4 linked regions of the Schizosaccharomyces pombe genome follow. The protein of the gene in region 2 interacts with the protein of the main gene of each other region in a pairwise test. Each region holds a gene or a part of one and is shown on either strand. Other genes may lie near its edges.

The links.
Region 1: the proteins of SPOM_SPBC1773.16C (region 2) and utp4 interact in a two-hybrid assay, tested with the Schizosaccharomyces pombe proteins (one large-scale study listed by BioGRID).
Region 3: the proteins of SPOM_SPBC1773.16C (region 2) and pcf11 interact in a two-hybrid assay, tested with the Schizosaccharomyces pombe proteins (one large-scale study listed by BioGRID).
Region 4: the proteins of SPOM_SPBC1773.16C (region 2) and tim10 interact in a two-hybrid assay, tested with the Schizosaccharomyces pombe proteins (one large-scale study listed by BioGRID).

Annotation. Positions count from the first base shown.
Region 1 is NC_003423.3:3,702,951-3,708,150, reverse strand, and holds utp4 (U3 snoRNP protein Utp4), read left to right. Parts: upstream 1-1,865; 5' UTR 1,866-2,276; coding exon 2,277-4,409; 3' UTR 4,410-4,695; downstream 4,696-5,200. Other genes in the region: sac11 (inositol polyphosphate phosphatase), read right to left, coding at 1-1,419. UniProt on the Schizosaccharomyces pombe protein: Involved in nucleolar processing of pre-18S ribosomal RNA. Required for optimal pre-ribosomal RNA transcription by RNA polymerase I together with a subset of U3 proteins required for transcription (t-UTPs).
Region 2 is NC_003423.3:317,190-322,426, reverse strand, and holds SPOM_SPBC1773.16C (transcription factor), read left to right. Parts: upstream 1-1,861; 5' UTR 1,862-1,946; coding exon 1,947-3,734; 3' UTR 3,735-4,733; downstream 4,734-5,237. Other genes in the region: gor2 (glyoxylate reductase), read left to right, coding at 1-765; dal52 (dipeptide transmembrane transporter), read right to left, coding at 4,972-5,237.
Region 3 is NC_003424.3:2,255,149-2,261,053, forward strand, and holds pcf11 (cleavage and polyadenylation specificity factor), read right to left. Parts: upstream 4,039-5,905; 5' UTR 3,674-4,038; coding exon 3,524-3,673; intron 3,476-3,523; coding exon 1,709-3,475; 3' UTR 1,450-1,708; coding exon of another isoform or gene 787-1,449; 3' UTR 529-786; downstream 1-528. Other genes in the region: ribonuclease H2 complex subunit Rnh201, read left to right, coding at 1-420; adenylate kinase Adk1, read left to right, coding at 787-1,449; mpf1 (meiotic PUF family protein 1), read left to right, coding at 4,795-5,559, 5,631-5,905.
Region 4 is NC_003424.3:947,344-950,211, reverse strand, and holds tim10 (Tim9-Tim10 complex subunit Tim10), read left to right. Parts: upstream 1-1,559; 5' UTR 1,560-1,630; coding exon 1,631-1,731; intron 1,732-2,079; coding exon 2,080-2,248; 3' UTR 2,249-2,336; downstream 2,337-2,868. Other genes in the region: Ragulator complex subunit Lam3, read right to left, coding at 165-483, 532-566. UniProt on the Schizosaccharomyces pombe protein: Mitochondrial intermembrane chaperone that participates in the import and insertion of multi-pass transmembrane proteins into the mitochondrial inner membrane.

The sequences.
Region 1 (5,200 bases), 3.4 Mb from region 2:
TAAAATATAACGTTTAGCAGAGTTAACAAAATCGTTAAAAGCGCCTTTTCGAGTTCGAATACCGGTTCTAGTAAAATCGGTTTTCAAAGCTCCTGTACCAGAATAAGAAAGACTAATGTAATCTGCATTATCAGACCAAATGTTGCAAAAAATGTTATCAAGAGGAATGACGGAACGAAGGGGATGGGTAGCACCTATAATTCCGCATTTACGAAGTTGATTCGTAAGCACCCAGCGACCTATACAGCTTTGGACCACATTGGTTCTATCAAGACAATCCATGCAGTTGGAGCGTACAACGCCATTCTGACGAGATAAAACACGGTACTTTTGAGTGTCTAATGTAGTGTAGCCTTGCTCTTCTAACTCGGGTTGTATTTCATTTAAAAGGAGTGAAACCCGGTCCCACCTCATATGGCTACATTCTTTATGAAAGTCAAAATAATGATAATGGATATGGGGATTATCCAAACGACGTATAACATTTTCATATAACTGTTTAATAGGAAGCTCATGTCCTTTACAGTTGACCAAATTAACTACAACCTGGTCACCGTATATGGATATTTGCTCGTCGAAATGCTTTTTTGCAGCGGCTGCAGCCATTGAAGCAGAATTTGCAACCATCAATGGTTTATAGCGAAGATTATTAACCTCTGCCCAAAAAGCAGGAACACTACCGCGGGTCTGAACATGTGAATAAGTGACCTCTGACTTTTCGTCTGAAACGATAGTAATCTGCTCAGTTTCATTGAAGTTGGCGGGGTTTCCATTCTCGTCTAAACCTCTGGTAAAATATCTAGTACCGGCGCGTTGTTTAGAGCGTCGAGATATTAATGCTAACGTGATTGTTCGTCCCTTAACAATAGTGGAAGCAGAAGTGATGAAGCCGTAAATCATTGGCGTAATGAAAAGTGATACTTCAGAATGGGCACCGATAAGATCAATGAAATCTTTACTAGCAAACTCGTTCCAAAAAAATCGTTTATCACTTCGAAGAATAGGTGAGGCCTTTCCCTCATCCGTACAAGAACGTTGTAGGGAGTTAGTAAGGTCCCATGTGTACGAGAAGTAAAAAGGTCCTGTTTTCAAATGATTTTGTAACAAATTGTATAAATCCAATTCATCTTGATCGTCAGCTAGTAGGTTACGATAGGGAATAACTTCAAATTTATGAACACGATATATTTTATGTCCCAAAATTTGGGCTGCACTAGATTTTTCTGTAGCTAAAATAAGATATTTATCTTTTTTCAGCTTGATTGAACCAAACAATGTGACACTATTTTCTTTGCTGCGGGCAACTGGTTTCAACTCGTCCGGCTCAAAACTAACTGCACCACTTTCTCGGTCAATTGTTAAACAACAATCTTCTCGACGAAGCTTAAATTGCTTCTCGTTTGCTTCAAACTGAACCATGAAGAAATTTTCTAAAGTTTTTGTAGGATAGATACCAAGATCTGTGAAGTTGATGGTTGGTAGACGGCAGACAACGAACCTGCTTACTGCTGTACTGTAACATACGGTTTTCTATGCTAAGTCATGTGGTATTATCGTAGATAGAATAAATGACATTTTCACTATGATTTATCAATTACTAAATTTGCTAGTAAGTATCCATCCTCAATAAAATATTATACTACAATGATCATATTGAAGGTCGCTGAATTATTCCTAGGGTATCTGGTGTTTGTTTAAATATTGAGAATAAATATCTCATTGACATCTTAAAATGTAAAATAATTAACATGAATACTTTCAAAACTTAATTGCCGTACACATAACTGCTAACGCACTTTCACCTAAATATGGTAGATGCTCTTGGTCATGTTGTGCTAGCCTTGTAAATACAAATTTCTTCCACTACCATTTACCAACGGAGTTCCAAAGGACACTCTGAAGAGTGCTTTAGAAGAATAATACATATTTGTAATATTAATAGTAGATACTTTGATTATTCTTCACGTTGAAATCACTATACTACTGTGATCTTCGTTTTGTGGTTGAATCCTGAGGATTCACTCGTTCATCAAAATTTTCATTTTTGAAAAAAAGAGCGAAAACATAGTTGATTTATTCCATTGAAACCTTTTAAATTTTTTCTTTTATATTTTTTTCAAAAAAAGGATTACAATTATCTAGCTAATAGCCGACTTTGGCGATATTTTGGGTTTGATTTGGGAAATTGACTTTGGTGCAAAAAAATAATTTTTTCCATACATACTTCTGATTAGTTTCCTGTTCGTTCTTTCTTTTATTTAAATTTAATTAGCAACATGGATATTCATCGTTGTCGCTTTATCGACTATACCCCTTCAGCTATTACTGCAATGGCATTTTCCCATAAAAGCGGTCAGAATGATTCTATGCCTAACAATTTACTACTCGCTGTTGGACGTGCTAGCGGAAACATTGAAATATGGAACCCTCGAAACGATTGGTGCTTAAAAACTGTGTTATACGGTGGTGTAGATCGCAGTATTGAAGGGATTGTTTGGAGTACCGGTGAAGAGGAGCTACGATTATTCAGTATAGGATTTTCAACTACTATTACTGAATGGAATTTACATACTGGAAAACCATTGGTAAACCAAGACTCTAATGCAGGAGCTATTTGGTCAATCGCTATATGCGATGAAACTAAAACTCTAGCTGTTGGATGTGATGATGGAAGTTGCGTTCTATTTGACATTAGTGGTGGCCCAGGTGTCATCGAATTTAAACGAGTTTTGATGCGCCAAACGTCTCGTATCCTTTCGCTCGACTTTCAAACAAAAGATCATCTTGTTGGTGGTTGCGCTGACGGTGTTATCAAAGTTTGGGATCTTAGCACTCCAAATTCCGCTATAATTTCTAGAATGCAAGTAGATCGTGCTCGAAAAGGAGAAGCTGCTTTAATTTGGGCCGTGAAAAGTTTACGGGATGGCACTATCGTAAGTGCCGATTCATCAGGTGCTGTTAAATTTTGGAATGGAAAATTCTTTACATTAAGCCAATCGTTCAAACTACATTTGGCTGATGCTTTGTGTTTGGGTGTTTCTGCTAACGGAGATATGGTATTTTCTTCAGGGATTGACAGGAAAACTATTCAGTACTCACGCGAAGGAGGTAAAAGAGAATGGGTCAGCAACAGTTTTAGAAGGTTCCATTCTCATGATGTTCGATGTATGGCCGTTTTTGAATGTAAAAGTTTGGATGTTCTTATTAGCGGTGGTATGGATATGATGCTTGCGGTAATTCCTGTTCGACAATTTAATCGCAAGAATCACAGGATGATATCTGCCGTTCCTCAACGCCCTCGCATGGCGGTCGCACCGAAAGCAAGGCTTTTTATGTTATGGAATGATCATGAAGTACTTCTCTGGAGAATTGGGTCTCCTGGCTATAGGTTTTTATTAAAAATTGTGTTGGCTGACGAAGAAAATATTTCACATGCAGCAATTTCTCCTGATGGGGAATTAATTGCAATTTCTTCCGTTTTGAGGACGAAGCTTTATCAATTACAGTATAGCGATGAAAATGTGAAAGTTGAAACAGTTGAGGACTCCTTCCTTTCAAATATTGGTGCTAGCCTGCTTAGTTTTACTGTAGATAAGAACAAGCTTATCCTTGTTAGTAACGATTCCGAGATATTTCTCATTGAATTAAGTCGACTGGATTCTCGTCAGCTAGAAGTTTTCGAGTTATCACAACCCACTAGCAAGAAAATTGCTCCTCGTCAGCGAAGCAATGTAAGCAGCATGTGTGATGGTATTTGCAGTATAGCGGTATCTTCGGATGGAGATTATTTTGCTGTTGCGGACACAGTTGGAAATATTTTCTGCTACTCCTTGTCAAATTTAACATATTCAGAGTTACCACGAGTTAACACTTATGTTCGTGCAATGGCTTTTCGTCCAGATGTACGAGGCCGTTTAGCTGTTGCTACGGCGGGAAATCAAGTTTATGAGTTTGATGTTCAATCCCGTAAATTATCTGAATGGTCAAAAAACAATTCTACAAATATGCCCAAAGAATTTTCGCAACTTCTAGATAAGGCATTCGGAGCATTTTTCGACTCTAAACATCCGAGTCGATTCTGGATTTGGTCAGCCAACTGGGTTTCATTTTTCGATCTTAATCTTCAATTACCAGCGCCTCGCGCTGCCGGAAAACGTAAAATTGAAATGAATGCAACAGTTGACGGGAATCTGAATGACAAAAAATTGGCGAATGCTAATTCGAACGGCATTTCAAATTATGGAACAGGGGATTCTAGGTGTTTCTGGATTACTCACAAATATCGACCAATGCTACTTGTAGGCTCTGTAGGAAACTCTGAATTGCTGGTAGTCGAACGACCAATCGCCGATATGTTGATGAGTAAATCAATGCCAGCAAGCTTTTATGAGCACAAATTTGGCTCGTAAATATGTATTATGTATGAAGATGGAGGAGTTTCTTCGTACTAAAAAAAACGAAGAGGTTTTAATATGTCATTTTACGTAAAAAAAATGTCTGGAATAGGGTGGTATTATTATGATTTTGTACAAAAAGGTCTTTTATTATAGGAGTTTATTTTATTTTTATTTTTTCCGATAAAAAGCATAGATTAGTTGCTAGTTAGTTTATCAATAAAACATTTCAAGGTGACACACCCATCCACAATATGATTATGGCAATGTAGCTGTGAATTTCCAAAGTCTGAGTTGTTTATTCCCATTATCGATTGGAGCATTATGCCTGTAATATGGTTTCACTTGATTCTAGGCAGATAGGCGTACAATTTTACGAACCCAAATTTTTTGATTAATAGACTTAACACGGCGAACTAAAATTTAACCGAACGCTATTTTTGTTACACCACATAATTAGAAAATTACTCGCATGAGGATAATTAAAAATACTCTGGTAAAATTAAAATTATTGTAGAAGACAGCTTGTATTTAAAGAGTAGCAATTACCATCTACAACTTATAAAGAAAACATATTCAAAGTAACAGAATCTTACAAAGGATATATATGCAAATGAAACGAAGAAAGCTCATACATGAACCCGTCTACGTTTCTAAACTTGATTACATTTGATATATTCAAAATAAAATAAAGAAGTGAAATAAGTGATTGACGTAAAAAATTATTTTCTTGCCGATGAGATTATACATTCGTTTGTTTATTGAAATTTGTTCACAACTTAGATAAATCTGTTTAGTAGTACCAG
Region 2 (5,237 bases):
TTCGTAACTGGTGCTGCTGGTTACAATAATGTTGATGTCGACTGGGCTACAAGAAATGGTGTTTACGTCGCAAATACTCCAAACGGACCTACAGAGGGAACAGCAAATATGAATTTAATGCTCTTTATGTGTACACTCCGTGGAGCTCGAGAGGCAGAACAAAGTCTTCGCCTTGGCAAATGGCGTCAAAACTTATCGCTGACGGACGATCCATATGGAAAACGAGTGGGCATTATTGGGATGGGCGCAATTGGCAAATCTTTTGCTCAAAAAATTCTTCCTCTAGGTTGTGAAATTGTATATCATAATAGAAATCGCCTGGAGGCAGAGGAAGAGAAAAGACTAGGTGCGTCTTTTGTTTCTTTCGATGAACTGCTAAGCTCTAGTGATGTAATTAGCATTAATTGCCCTCTTACCCCAGCAACTCACGATTTAATATCCACGAAGGAATTTGAAAAAATGAAGGATGGAGTTTATATTATTAACACAGCTCGTGGTGCAATAATTAATGAAGATGCCTTTATCAAGGCTATAAAATCTGGCAAAGTTGCTCGTGCAGGTCTCGACGTGTTTTTGAATGAACCTACTCCCAATAAATTTTGGTTGGAATGCGATAAAGTAACCATCCAACCACATTGTGGTGTATATACCAATTTTACGGTTGCTAAAACAGAGGAATGTGTTTTAGCAAGTATTGAAACATTTCTTGATACAGGAATCCCCACCAATCCAGTCAACGGTCCGTTCGGCATGAATGGTTGTTGATGCAAGTCAAAAGTCCTTTACATCTACACAAGTAAAGTATATGTTAATAAAAAATATTCATTTTTATGTTGTTGCTTTTTGTGAGCACGTATCTGTAAAGAATACATATGAGAGATTCTGTCATTTTGAATGCTGCTTTTTGGGTCAGCCTGTTCAAACTTACATAGTTGAAAAGATTATCACATCCTTATTTTTTAAAGCTAACTATTTATTATTCACTTGTTAAGATGCTCCTCCTCTCAGGGAAAAGTAAAAGTAGAAGTTCATTTTCCAAAATGGGACTTTACAGAAAAATTGAATATCTGATTCCATTTCAAGGATTTGGAAGATATTTATCTTTGCGTGCGTATACTAGACATGCTCGCATAATTTTATAGTAGGATGCTAGCAACGGTGATTAAATTGGCAAGTCGAATTATCTTAGATCTAAGGCTAAAATCATAAACTGCTATAATCTTTTAGATATCAGGCTACTACAAACTGCTGTTGCCAATTTAAAATGGTATGGTACATGAATCGATCCTTCGATAAATGTCTATCTAAGTGTTCGTATTAGTCAGAATATTTTGGTTCCGAACTGATATCCTCCCGCGTGTGCATAAAATATTCCATTTCATTCAATATCAATTCATAAACTAGTCATTAGATGAAGAAAATATTTCTAGTTCGTATTATTTATATAAGCATACGTAGAACCATAAAGTCAGGCAGACTAGTTCCTAGTTTTGGCTTGAGTAAGTTCAATTTCACTTCGACGAAACTGGCGTTTATCAACGTACAAATTTAATTCTTTCCTCAATTTAAGAAAAATGCCTCTTTTTTTTAACTTCGTAATATCTATACGGTAAAGACATGTTTAAAATGGTATAATCTAATGAGCTATGTAGTTTTCATCTTATCAACTGCAGCTAAAGATGGGTTGCTTCAATATCGTGTTTGATTATCTGCAAAATGTCCGACATCTTTCATATTGATTACTATTAAACTTTTTTTTTTTTTTCAACCAGAATAGTATCGACTGGTTACCCTTTATCAAACTTGTGTGACTAGGTTGAGTTATCAATATGGACCATTCGTAAAGCCCACAGCAAAACTCATTCGCAACTAGTCTGTGTTTAATATATACAGCAATTGACAAGATTAAGCATAAATATATAACTAAAAAAGACTCACATTTTTAAATGAAAAGGATCAGAAATGCTTGTGAATTGTGCAGGCGTAAGAAGCTAAGATGCAATGGTGAATTAACTTGCCAAAATTGTATGGTATATGGCGAAGAGTGTCGTTATGTTAAGCGGGTTAAACATGACAATCGAGCAGCAGTACAAGAAAACGAAAGGTATCCTATACTCTACACTCCGCTCAGCACTTCAGATCATGATAACGACGAAGAGAATGAAATCAATGAGTTGAAAAATGCTGTTAAAGCTTTGGATAAACGTTTTGATAATTTCGAATTAAAGCTAGAGGCTCTTTTCTCTTTATTAAGATCTCAGCAGGACTCAGAGAGGAAAGTGAAACCCGGGGGTTTTCCATCTTTGGTTTCACAGATTTTGAGTGCAGGGGCTCTCGTGGATTCAAAATTGCAGGCATACACTATGAGAACCAATTTTTTTTCTAATGGATTTAGCAGCAACGATTTATTCCCCCATAGCTTTCCTACTTGGAAAAGTGCCTTTCGAGATGTTCCAGACAAAGATTGGGCTAAAACATGCTTGGATTGGTATTTCAGATTTATCAATTGTAATTGGCCTATATTTTATAAGAAACAGTACATGGAAAGCTTTGAAAAGTTATATATAGACAAGAATTTGGTCAAGGGTGCCTGGATTGTCTCGTTCTATGCTATTTTGGCTTTGGCTGTATCTCGAGACAAAAGAGTCGATAATAGTAAATTGGCGGAGTCTTTTTTTGCTACTTCCTGGTTTCTAATTCAAAGACCTGGCTTTTTTCTCACACCGCAACTCGAAAAAATTCAAGCATTAGTGATCATGATTCAGTTCGCAAGTCATCTGTCGTTGTACAATCTCTGCAAAAAACTTTGCGGTCAAGTTTGTTTGATGGTTAAGGATTTAAATTTACACAAAGAAAGTACAGACAAAGATCTTGACCAAGATATGGCAGAATTGCATAGACGAATATTTTGGGTATGCTACATTTTTGAAACTACCACATCCTTGATTTTCGGAACCCCTCCCGTTTTGGGAGATCTGGAAATTGAGTGCAAATACCCTGACATTAATTATGCTCATTGTTTTGCTGAAAACGTCCAAGGAGATTTAATATTTACATGTGAAATATCGTTAACCGTTTTGAAACACGAAATAAGGACTAAGCTCTACAATAGTAATAATGTTTTTTTAGACAAAGGTCAAAAGGGTGTGATATCTAACATTCAAACAAAGATATTGAATTTTGAAAGAGCCATTCCTTCTGAAATGAAGCATTATTTTGAGATACTTAAGGCAGGTAACGGGCTGCCCGAAGAACTGGATATTATTAAGCAACATTTTTTTACAGCTTGCGTGGAAATATATCTGTCATATTGCAATACACTTATTTATTTATATCTCGCGGACGATAGCATTGAAGGATCAAAAATTTGTTTAAGCACGGCTAGAGCAGCTATTGACGTTATTAAGGGATTTTTGGTGGTTCTTGATCCTATTTCAAAAAATATTTGTTATCTTTGGCTGTTTCTTTATTGTCCGTTTACACCTTTTTTGACGGTTTTTTCACATCTTTTGGAAGACGACGACTTGGACGCTGATATATGCGTCAAGGACGTTGATCGGTTATACTCTATTCATGCTTTTTTTTTAAAAATGAAAGATATCAGTGGAGAATTTGCTGAGAGGTTATCAGTTATTACTGAGAATTTTATTCAATCGGCTGAGCAATATCTTGCGCTGCAAAATACAAGTGTGTTTGGGACATTTGATGCCTTGAGCGAAAGTTTTTCAATTTAATATTTATATACTAATAATTTAAAGGCTTAAATATGTCCTTTTATTTGAATGCTTACTGTATCGTGTTCTTATCGCTTACTGTTTTCAAAGCGCATGCTTGATATATATATGGCAAGTTAATTTACTTTGACGACAAGTATCGGAAAATATTTATGTCGTGAGGATTCTATGTACAATATAATGGTTTTAATCAATATATATTATCACTTTAACATTTTTTGATCGATTCATTCACCGGGCAATATTATCTCAACAATTTCTAATCTGACGGTTTGCGGGTTTTCCAATTTAGCGAGAACATGAAATAACTTATAGCTCATATGTTATGTTATAATTAGCCAACGACTTCGTAAATTTGAAAAATTAATGCTTACTTAGACTGGTTGTCCTATACGCCCAGGTCATCACTTTTTAGAATTTTCTAGTACTTTTAATATATTGGTTGTTTTCGGTTATTGATAAACAGTTCTTGAGCTGGCTTGAGTCTGCGATGCTATCATTCATGATCAATAATACTGTAAACAACCATTTTTAATATTCATTGTGGACCACAACATGGGAATGATTTTTATTATTATAGTAAACTAGCTACTGGTAAATTATTAAAGAGAAGTCGAAAATATTACAACCAATTGACCGAATCTTCGTTAAGGACATGCATAGTTTAAGACACTCATCATCTTATTTAGTGTTGTCAATACAGTGGATTTCAATAGACAGGATAATCAGTATAATAAGTAAATATCGATAGAAGAACCGATGCTATTTGTTGGACGTTACAGAAATTCATTTGTAGGTTCATAGTGACAAAAATTATATGTCAAATACTTTAAGAACTTATAGGTCTTCGTCAAACGGGTATTAAACCATCATCATTCTGGCTAGTGATGCTTAAGAAATCAGGAATAATTCTACCTCAGCATTGTACAAACGAAAATGCTTACATGTCTATTAACATACCCAATTGATATTTCCCACTTAAATCAACAAACGGGTATACAATTTGATACAAAAATTAGACTAATAGAACTAGGAATAGTGTACGTGACCTGTTCTTTTATAATTAAGAAAAAAACACAAGTTCCAATTTATTAATTAACTAAAGAAGGTAATAGGGGATCTAGTAAAGAGGTTTACAATATACTAATAACTTGACTAAAAGAATTGACTAATTATTATTCCTTCATCAATGCACACCGGTAAAAAACAGTAAAAAAACAAAAAAATCAATAGAAAATTAAATAGAATAACGAAATTCGGGATTTTCAAAGTCGGTCAAATCCTTTTTGTCTTCCTCACTCAATTCATTTGATAAATATTCGTTTTTTTCATCCCTTCTGCGATTCTCTCGCACATTAACGGCATAAATAGCAATAATAATAAATATAGCAACGCAATAACAAACGACAAATGATACTTTAGCTCCTTGGTATTTTGGAGCTTGTGTAGACCTAAATGTTTGGGGGCCGACCATATTTCCAACGCAATATCCAATCATGGAAA
Region 3 (5,905 bases), on a different chromosome or scaffold from region 2:
TACCAGGAAAAATTACAAGCTCATTTTCCTCAAGCGAAAGTCACTGTCACTAAAAAAGCAGATTCCCTTTTTCCCATCGTGAGTTTAGCTTCTATCTGTGCTAAAGTTACTAGAGATATTCAACTGGAATGCGCTCGTGAAAGTATTCGAACTGAGAACTGGGGTTCTGGATATTCTTCTGACGCTCGAACTACCGAGTGGTTAAAAGTAAATGTCGATAAAATTTTCGGATGGAAGGGAGACATAGTTAGATATTCATGGAAAACCGCTAAGGATTTACTAGAATTACCTTCCAAATCACAGTCTTCGATTGAAATAGATTGGCACGAAGATGACGATACTCCTACTTTGAACTTTACACAGAAAAAGAAACCGAATCCGGCTTCTCGTTCGTGGTTTGGATCAGAGTTTTATTTTTAGTTTAGTTACTATACTCTGTCACTACTTTTGCCTAAGACTAATTGTGAGAGTGATACGAATTTACATTTATGCTTAAAATCATTAATTGCATTGCTTCGTGCTTTTGGAGCTACGTAGAAAACCTTTATTAGCATTTGGTTATAGATAAAAATAATATAAATTTATTGTTCTATTTACCCCAGGCTTCTGCTCTGTTTATTGAGTTTGGTTTAGCACCAACAATAATATAACGACTTGTTAAAGTTCGCTATTATAAAAATTAGGTGGTCTTCTTTTACTTCTCAGTCCGATTTTAGACTACTACCAAATACCGCTTTGTTGTGGAATCTCGTTTTTTTTTTGCATAGATACCCAATTTGATCAAATATGGCTGGCATGAGACTTATTTTAGTTGGACCTCCAGGTGCTGGAAAAGGCACTCAGGCCCCCAACATTCAGAAGAAATATGGCATCGCCCATCTTGCTACTGGTGACATGTTGCGCTCTCAAGTAGCTCGTCAAACTGAGCTCGGTAAAGAAGCTAAGAAGATCATGGATCAGGGTGGTCTTGTCAGCGATGACATTGTCACTGGTATGATCAAGGATGAGATCCTCAACAATCCTGAGTGCAAGAACGGCTTCATCCTGGACGGTTTCCCCCGTACTGTCGTCCAAGCTGAAAAGCTTACCGCTCTTCTTGATGAACTCAAACTTGACTTGAATACTGTCCTTGAGTTACAAGTTGATGATGAACTTTTGGTCAGACGTATCACTGGTCGTCTCGTCCATCCCGGATCTGGCCGTAGCTACCACTTGGAATTTAATCCTCCTAAAGTTCCTATGAAAGACGATGTTACTGGCGAGCCTCTTATCCAACGTTCCGATGATAACGCCGATGCTTTGCGCAAGCGTTTGGTCACTTATCACGAACAAACTACTCCTGTCGTTGAGTTTTACAAAAAGAAGGGTAAATGGGCTGCTGTTGATGCTGCTCAAAAACCTGAGCAAGTTTGGGAGCAGATCGTTGCTATTCTTGAGAAGGCTGAGTAAGTATTTTTTTTAGGTTAGAGCTGAAGGGCCCCTTTCTTTTTCAATTACTTAGATATTTTTGCCTAGTGTTCGTAGGATATAAATATAGAATATTCTGAACCCAAAAGTTTTCGGTAAACTGTTTAGTTTGCTATACTACTATAAGCAGTATGTAAAACTCATATTTTAGCTGATTATATAGAAATATTTTTTGTATGTACATGATTCAAATTTATTGCTAAAATCCGAAAGCTCGAGAAAAATGAGGTTAAAACAAAACTCACTTGCTTTCTTGTTTAATAACTTTAGAAGACATTGAATCCATTGAATCGTCTCTCTCTTTGCGTTTACCAAGTGCTTGAAGGATACTTTGAATATCAATGCCTTGTAACAAATTTTGAACATCAGGTTGAGAGTCCTTCGAAGCGTCACCCGTAGCATTTTTAATATTAGACGAAACAGCTGCTTCCGCTAAATTTTGTGTACTAGTATTTGTGTTTGAATGTTTGTTTTCTGACGGGCGTACTTCTTGCAAACAAGTCGCATGAAATATACGGCCTTCCTCTTCGACTGCATTCATAAAGACCCAAACTTCAGCTTCCTCATGCCAAACACTTTGGAATTTTTCTTGACATATTGGACAAGGCTCGGACGCAGCAATTGGATCTAAGGGTGTCAATACATATTGTGACCTAACGGATTCCATTTGCTTTTGACGCTGTTCTTCGATTTCCTGAGCAGTCTCTGTAATTAAATCTTCCTCTTCTTTGCTATTGACCCATTCTTCCTCCATCACAAACCAACAGCGATTAATCCCATGAAGGCTACTTTCACGAATTCTCTTATTGATCCGAAAATGCCAATCTGAATGTTTGTCCAACTCCTTTCTACTTTCAGGATCATTTCCATAACGCCTACCACAGTTTGCGCATTGGTTAGAATAATTCTCATATAACAAAGAAGATAGCTTGGGCCGAGGAGTAGCGAGCGAAGATTTAGAAAGGTCAATGTCTGCTGTTAGAGACACAGCTTCAGTACAAGAAGCTTGTGGACCTTGAGACTTACCACCAGCAGATGGCGGAACCAACCCTGCAGCTTGCAGATTAGCAAAAAGAGAATCTATACTAGACGATTCTTCAGGCGTTAACGCGTTCGCGTTGTATAAGGATGCCGGCGGCCCTGAAGATAACGAATACTTGTGACTTTGAGGACCTGGATGGACATATGAATGAGTGAGTGGAGGTTGCGAAGATACAGAAGCCGAATACGCAGAAGGAATTGTAGGAATGGTAGATGGAATAGAAGGTTTCATAAAAGGAGTCGAAGAAATAGATGATAATGCAGAAGGCACGGAGGGAGCAGACGTAGCAACAGAACTCGTTGAAGGAGAAGCCGGCTTCTCTAATTGTGCCAGCTGGTTTTTTATAGCCAGCAATTGGTCATAAGGTAGTGCGGAAGAAGACAGCACATTTTTGAGTTGTAATAGTATTTCAAACCGCTTTTTAGCCATGTTGTCATAAGGATTTTTAATAAATCTAGCTTGTTCTGTAACAATCATTCGGTTAACATCAGATAAAAGAGAGTCCAGTGTAATAAATCCAGGAGAAGGACTGGTGCCCGAAATATGCTGAAAGCCAAATGGAACAGAAGGTAAAGACGGTTTGTACGAAGATGCCGGATCGGAAAATGAGGAGTAGGAGTTAATATTAGCGTCAATAGGAGCAGAAAATGATGAAATTGAAGTATTAGCAAGTAAAGGGCTCTGATGTCTCAAAATTGTTGATTTGTATTTTAGTAATGCGTTTTCAATTTTTGCTGTAACTATGGGGGAAAATACGGGCTCCAAAGAACTTGAATTCGGTGGACGTTGTTTCCAAGTAGCTAATAATTGATCCAGTTTTAAGCGCAGACGGGGTTCTACTACGGTGTATGCACTCATAAATGTCGAAAAAAGATGAAGGCCAAAAAAATAAGTATAAGGAGCTCCTAAATTCTTAGAAATAGAATCTAAAAGGTAAAGCGCTGGAAGTTTACAGTTAGGTGGGCACTGTAAATAAGAGTTAGCACATATGTTTCAATCAAGGTTAAATCATACTTTTTGGATATGTTTTTCAATGGCGTTCACGATGCTAATAGCATAAGGCTCATTCTCCTGCGCGATATAAGTAAGAGTATGGATGATAGGTTTACTGTTAAACGTTAAATCTTCTAATGCACTTAAGTAATCCAATTCCACTAAATCCATTTTCTTCTCTTTTCTGAGTTTAGGATAATGTAAAGCTAAACAAATCTAGCTATAGTCAAGTATGATAAATTATCTAACCGATACTGTCAAAACCAAAGTTTTCTTTTCTCAAAAATATCTTTTAAAACAAAATATTGTACACAATGATAAAATATTTACTTTTTAAACACACACACGCAGACTACAAAACAAAATTGTAATCGTGAGAGTCTCAAAAAACTAAGGATAATAGAAAACACCCGATATATTAGTACTGGGATATTTTCAATGCATCAGTATCCTTTTTCAATAAAAGGAAACTCTTTCTTTTAAAGAGAAGTCTATGGGACAAGGCAGCGTTGCTCGTAAGGAAGTTATTCGTATGTGATACATCTAATAGGTTATGTATTGTGTGTATATCATTCTCAGATTACAAAATATGGTGAAGCGTGCTAATGCAAATAGCGTATTTAAATTTACCCATTAATGTATTAACCTTTTTATAGTACTATTTAAAGTTATGGACGAGAATATTAACTTATAACTTATTAGCTTTTTTTTTTATAACAGTTTCGGCATGCATGGTTTATGGATTATCTGTAAATATACCTCAACATAATTTTAGAAAGTTTACGATTCAAAGAAACTCGTACTCTATTAAGGTGAATCTGATAGTAATTCTTGTCGGGACGTGATATTAAAGATCTAAAAGTAATGGAACCGATAATATAAAACACAAATTAAATGTTTTTTTAGTAAATTACTTTCAATTGTATGAATCATTCTTGAAGTAAAGTCTAACTTGAGTTTTTATATCTAAGAAGGCTGCATACAAAAGGAAAAGTTAAGTATATACATATTATTCTAAATCAATTTATCAATATATTATGAAAACTATCAAAGGAAGTATTGGCTCGTTGTATGCAAGGGAACGTGAAGAATGTTGGTGGTTTGTTTACTTAAAAAGTGTAAACAAAAGTTCCAATCCCTTAATCAGAATTCGCCCAAAGCATATTTTTTGTCCAGGCAAGGGAAGTTGGATAATTCTCTTTTGATCTCAGTAAGTCTTTTTAATTAATTTAGTTTTGCATTTAGGTTTTACTGTTTGATTTTTCTGCCTTTTAAAAGAGCATACCCAAAGTATGCAGAGAGACGAGGAAAGACCCATTGACTTTGGAATGTCTTTAGAACTCCCAAAAACACCAAATGATGTAAACTATGTTAAAAAATTGATTACTCAAATTCTTTATCTCCAAACTCTCGTTTCGGAGCAGCAAAAAAAGATTGAGTCATCTACTCTAGAGGTCCAGAAGAAGAAGGATCAAATAAGAGAATTAGAAAGGATTTATGAGATGAATCCAAAAAGTTTCCTAACTCTTCGACGAACGCCAGCGCTTAAGTTACTTCCTGAGACTTTGTCTGTAGAGCTATCTAATGAAGTAAATCTGACTTCGTCAACCACTTCTTCCTGCGTAAAGCCTTCTCCCTATCTTACAAATTGTAATCTAAAAAACAAGGACACATTTCCCGTTAGCAAAAATAATTGCTCTTTGTCTTCTGGAATTTTTACAAACAGCAATGGCACCAACAATTGTTTTTCGACTCATCCAAAATCCTTGGATGACGCAAAAGACAATGTGGTTCCTAAAAAATTAAATGATACCGATCAGTTTCCTTTATGGAGTAAAAATGAAACAATCGACCCGATAGATCTCGGTTATTCTTTTATTTCGCCGTTCTCAATGTCATTTGCAAGCAAGGGTAATGAAATTTTGGATCCAGGAGAGTCAACAAATAAAAATCTATTTTATGAATTTCCTAATGGAACAACCGAGCCGTTTGAAAAAAACTCTGTGCATTCTGGCAAAGAGACTTTACAGTACAGCGCAACCATAAGCAAATGGAAGGTAAGTCTTTCTTCAAATTTAAGCTTCATAATGTAATTGAAATTCCCTTTCGCTAATGATTCTTTTTTTAGGCTATGATAGAGCAAATTATCTTTCAAAATGATCAGGCAGCCTCACTATCTCTGCAACAGCAACTTAAGAATGAGGATATTGAGGATAATATTAATCTCATTAACACTATTCTTCCGTTTTCTGTTACATTAATGAAAAATAAGTTCGGAAACTTTCTGATACAAAAATGCTTTGAATATAGCACTGAGGCACAATTGCAAAGTTTTAGCTATTTTCTCAAAAAACATGTGAAGGAGTTATCGATTGACGCGTTTGGTTCTCATGTATTACAAAA
Region 4 (2,868 bases), on a different chromosome or scaffold from region 2:
CGAACGAATATTATACTTGCTACAGTACATAATAATAAAGATATTTTTTTATAGTCTAAAATGAAAATATTCTTGGACGTCGACGTCGCCGTGGACAGATACTAGGAGCCGACATAATAAATAAGGTGTGAACTTCATTGATAGTAGGAGTAAATATACAGCAACTAAAGTTGAGAAATAACTTGATCCAAAGCATTGCTACATTTAAGAGCTCCGCGTAATGCATTATGAGCAGCAATGGTCGTAGAAACTACCATACCAGAACCGTCCTTTTTTTCTTTAGCTATTTGCAACACACAACTACCTCGTGAGTACTGGTTTGTGATAGATAATGGCTTTCCAAATTCTAAATGTTTAGCCAATTCATTAGCATGTAGACAAGCATCCGTAAGCTGAACCAAGGTTGTCCTATCTGTAGATTCTGGAAAACAAAGCACCTCCTCTAAGTTTTGATCAGCAACGTATAAAACAGTTTTTTCCTTTCTTCATTTTTCATTAGTATGGTTGTAATTTACTTTACTGAGAACTTACGATGCTAACTCGGACAATTGCTGTGAAACTGACATTTTCGACTCGATTTATTTACTTTTGATGCCTCGCACTATTTTTCTTACTGAATTAGGCCAAAATTCTTCTTCCAACAAATTAAAAAACAAAACAAAACAAAACGACTGTCTGTGCGGTAAGCTGAGGGTTTCTGATGTATCGCAAAGATTGCGTCTAATACTCCTCTGTTCAAGTTACGTGTACTGCGCACATATGGTTATGGTACTGACAGGGTGATATTACGAACTGCTGTAAGTCCTTAAAACTACATAAAGAGAGTATGCTATGCCTCGTTATATATACGAGCAAAGTTTTTGACGGTTTCATTAAAATCACTTATATTATATTATTTCTGCCAGCATCCTTTTGTTACGTTTGGTCGACCCGTGATTAGAGATAAACCCAATTGTTAAAAATATACATAAAACCTCTGTAATAGAATATTTATTATATTTGGCGATCCCGGTGCATAAATTCCCACTGCATACAATGATATGCCGATTATATAATAGAACAAGTTAACAAAACGATATTTGGTCCTTTCATATATCCTCATATGGAATTGCACTAACTTGCGTAGTAAATAGCTGTGGATATTTACACTGAAAGTACGAGTTGTATTGACTGTGGAATTTCTAGTATTTAATGTCAAAACAAAGTTGAGTGCAAGGATAGGTAGGAGGCATTATTGCGGAATTTTGATTATAAACACGTTCAAAAAACCCCTGGAGCCATGTCAGTTACAAATGCCAATAAACTTCGTTCTTCCGCATTCCTGTCAACGAACATTTGGCAGTCCACACGGAAACGAAAAAGCAGTCCAATTTTTTATGAACAAATTAGCAGGTAGTTTTAAGAAATTAAAGAAATAGAGAATGACTACAAACTGATAATTATTAAGCGGACAACGTGGAGTTCTCATGGTACATCGTAGCCTAAAAACTAAGGATGTTACTTGAAAGCTCACTGCTACTTTAAGGTAGATGCTTTAACAATATGCCTACTCTCATTCCACCGCAACAGTGCTATCGGTTTAATAAAAAAACCAAATTGAAAGCAATCTTTGCGCCATAAATCTATAAAAATGTCTATGTTTGGAATCGGAAAGAATAATCAGACCATTAATCCTCAGAACATTGCTATGGCTGAGCAAGAGGTTGAGATGATGTCTGATATCTTTAATAGGTATGCTTAATAGAGAAGCTAAGGATTGATATTTACAGCCGTCTATTTTTACGTTTCAAAATTCATCGTGAATTTAAGTATTCGAAGGGTTGTCAAAAAGTTACAAAGTCTCAGTACATACCTTGAAAGTAGTGCTGTACTCGTTTAAGTCAATTGTACTGCATACCTAGCTTTTTTAAAAACTATGGTACTTTGGTAGACTAATTTTTGGCAACGTAATATTATTCCAATTTTACATAAGTATTTGTTTACTTCTTTAATACATTTACATTGTTTTATCTTATGAAAAGACCAATCCGACGAATTTCTAAAAATTTTTCTACAAAAGTCGCTAACATTCCTTTCTAGACTTGTAATGACCTGTCATAAAAAGTGCATATCTCCTAAATACTATGAAGCCGATTTAACGAAAGGAGAAAGCGTGTGTATTGACCGTTGTGTATCGAAATACTTTGAAGCAAATCAGAGTCTTTCACAGCACATGCAAAAGCGTGGTCAAGAAAATCCAACACCATGAGCCCTTTGATTATCAACACATCTACCATTGTAGTATAAAATGGGTCATGTCCGATCCTATGTTACGGATGGAATGCTTTAAAAATTTCTCTACGACTTTTGGGATTCTCATTATACAATAAATAAAATTAATTTATAGTATTATTTTGAATAATGGAATGAAACCTGTGCGCACATCCGTGATATGGTGGTTCATACAGAAATAATTTCGTTCTTTTTTATTTGATGTCGTGTTAAACCATTTACGATACTCTATAATCTATGGAATGATCAACTTCTCTCTTCTTTTTCAAACGAAGCAATACTAATTATTAACTCTTTCATGACACTCTTTCTATCGTATTTCAAACGAAAGTTCCACCAAGCCCTCAAGTTTTCCCATCTGTAATTGTTGCTATTATTATTAATCACCCGTTCTCAAACTGAAACCTTTTACTATTCAACCCATGATTTAGCAGTCATTTGTTTTAGCCGAAAATTACTCATTACGCTATCGTTTTCTAGACTCTAGGAGATGTAAATAACTTATGTTTTAGGAAATAGTGTCCCGCTATTAGCCCCCACGGAAGCTGTCGTTTTTGTGAACTTCTTGGAAGAGATGCCTCATGCAGCGCCTCCTTG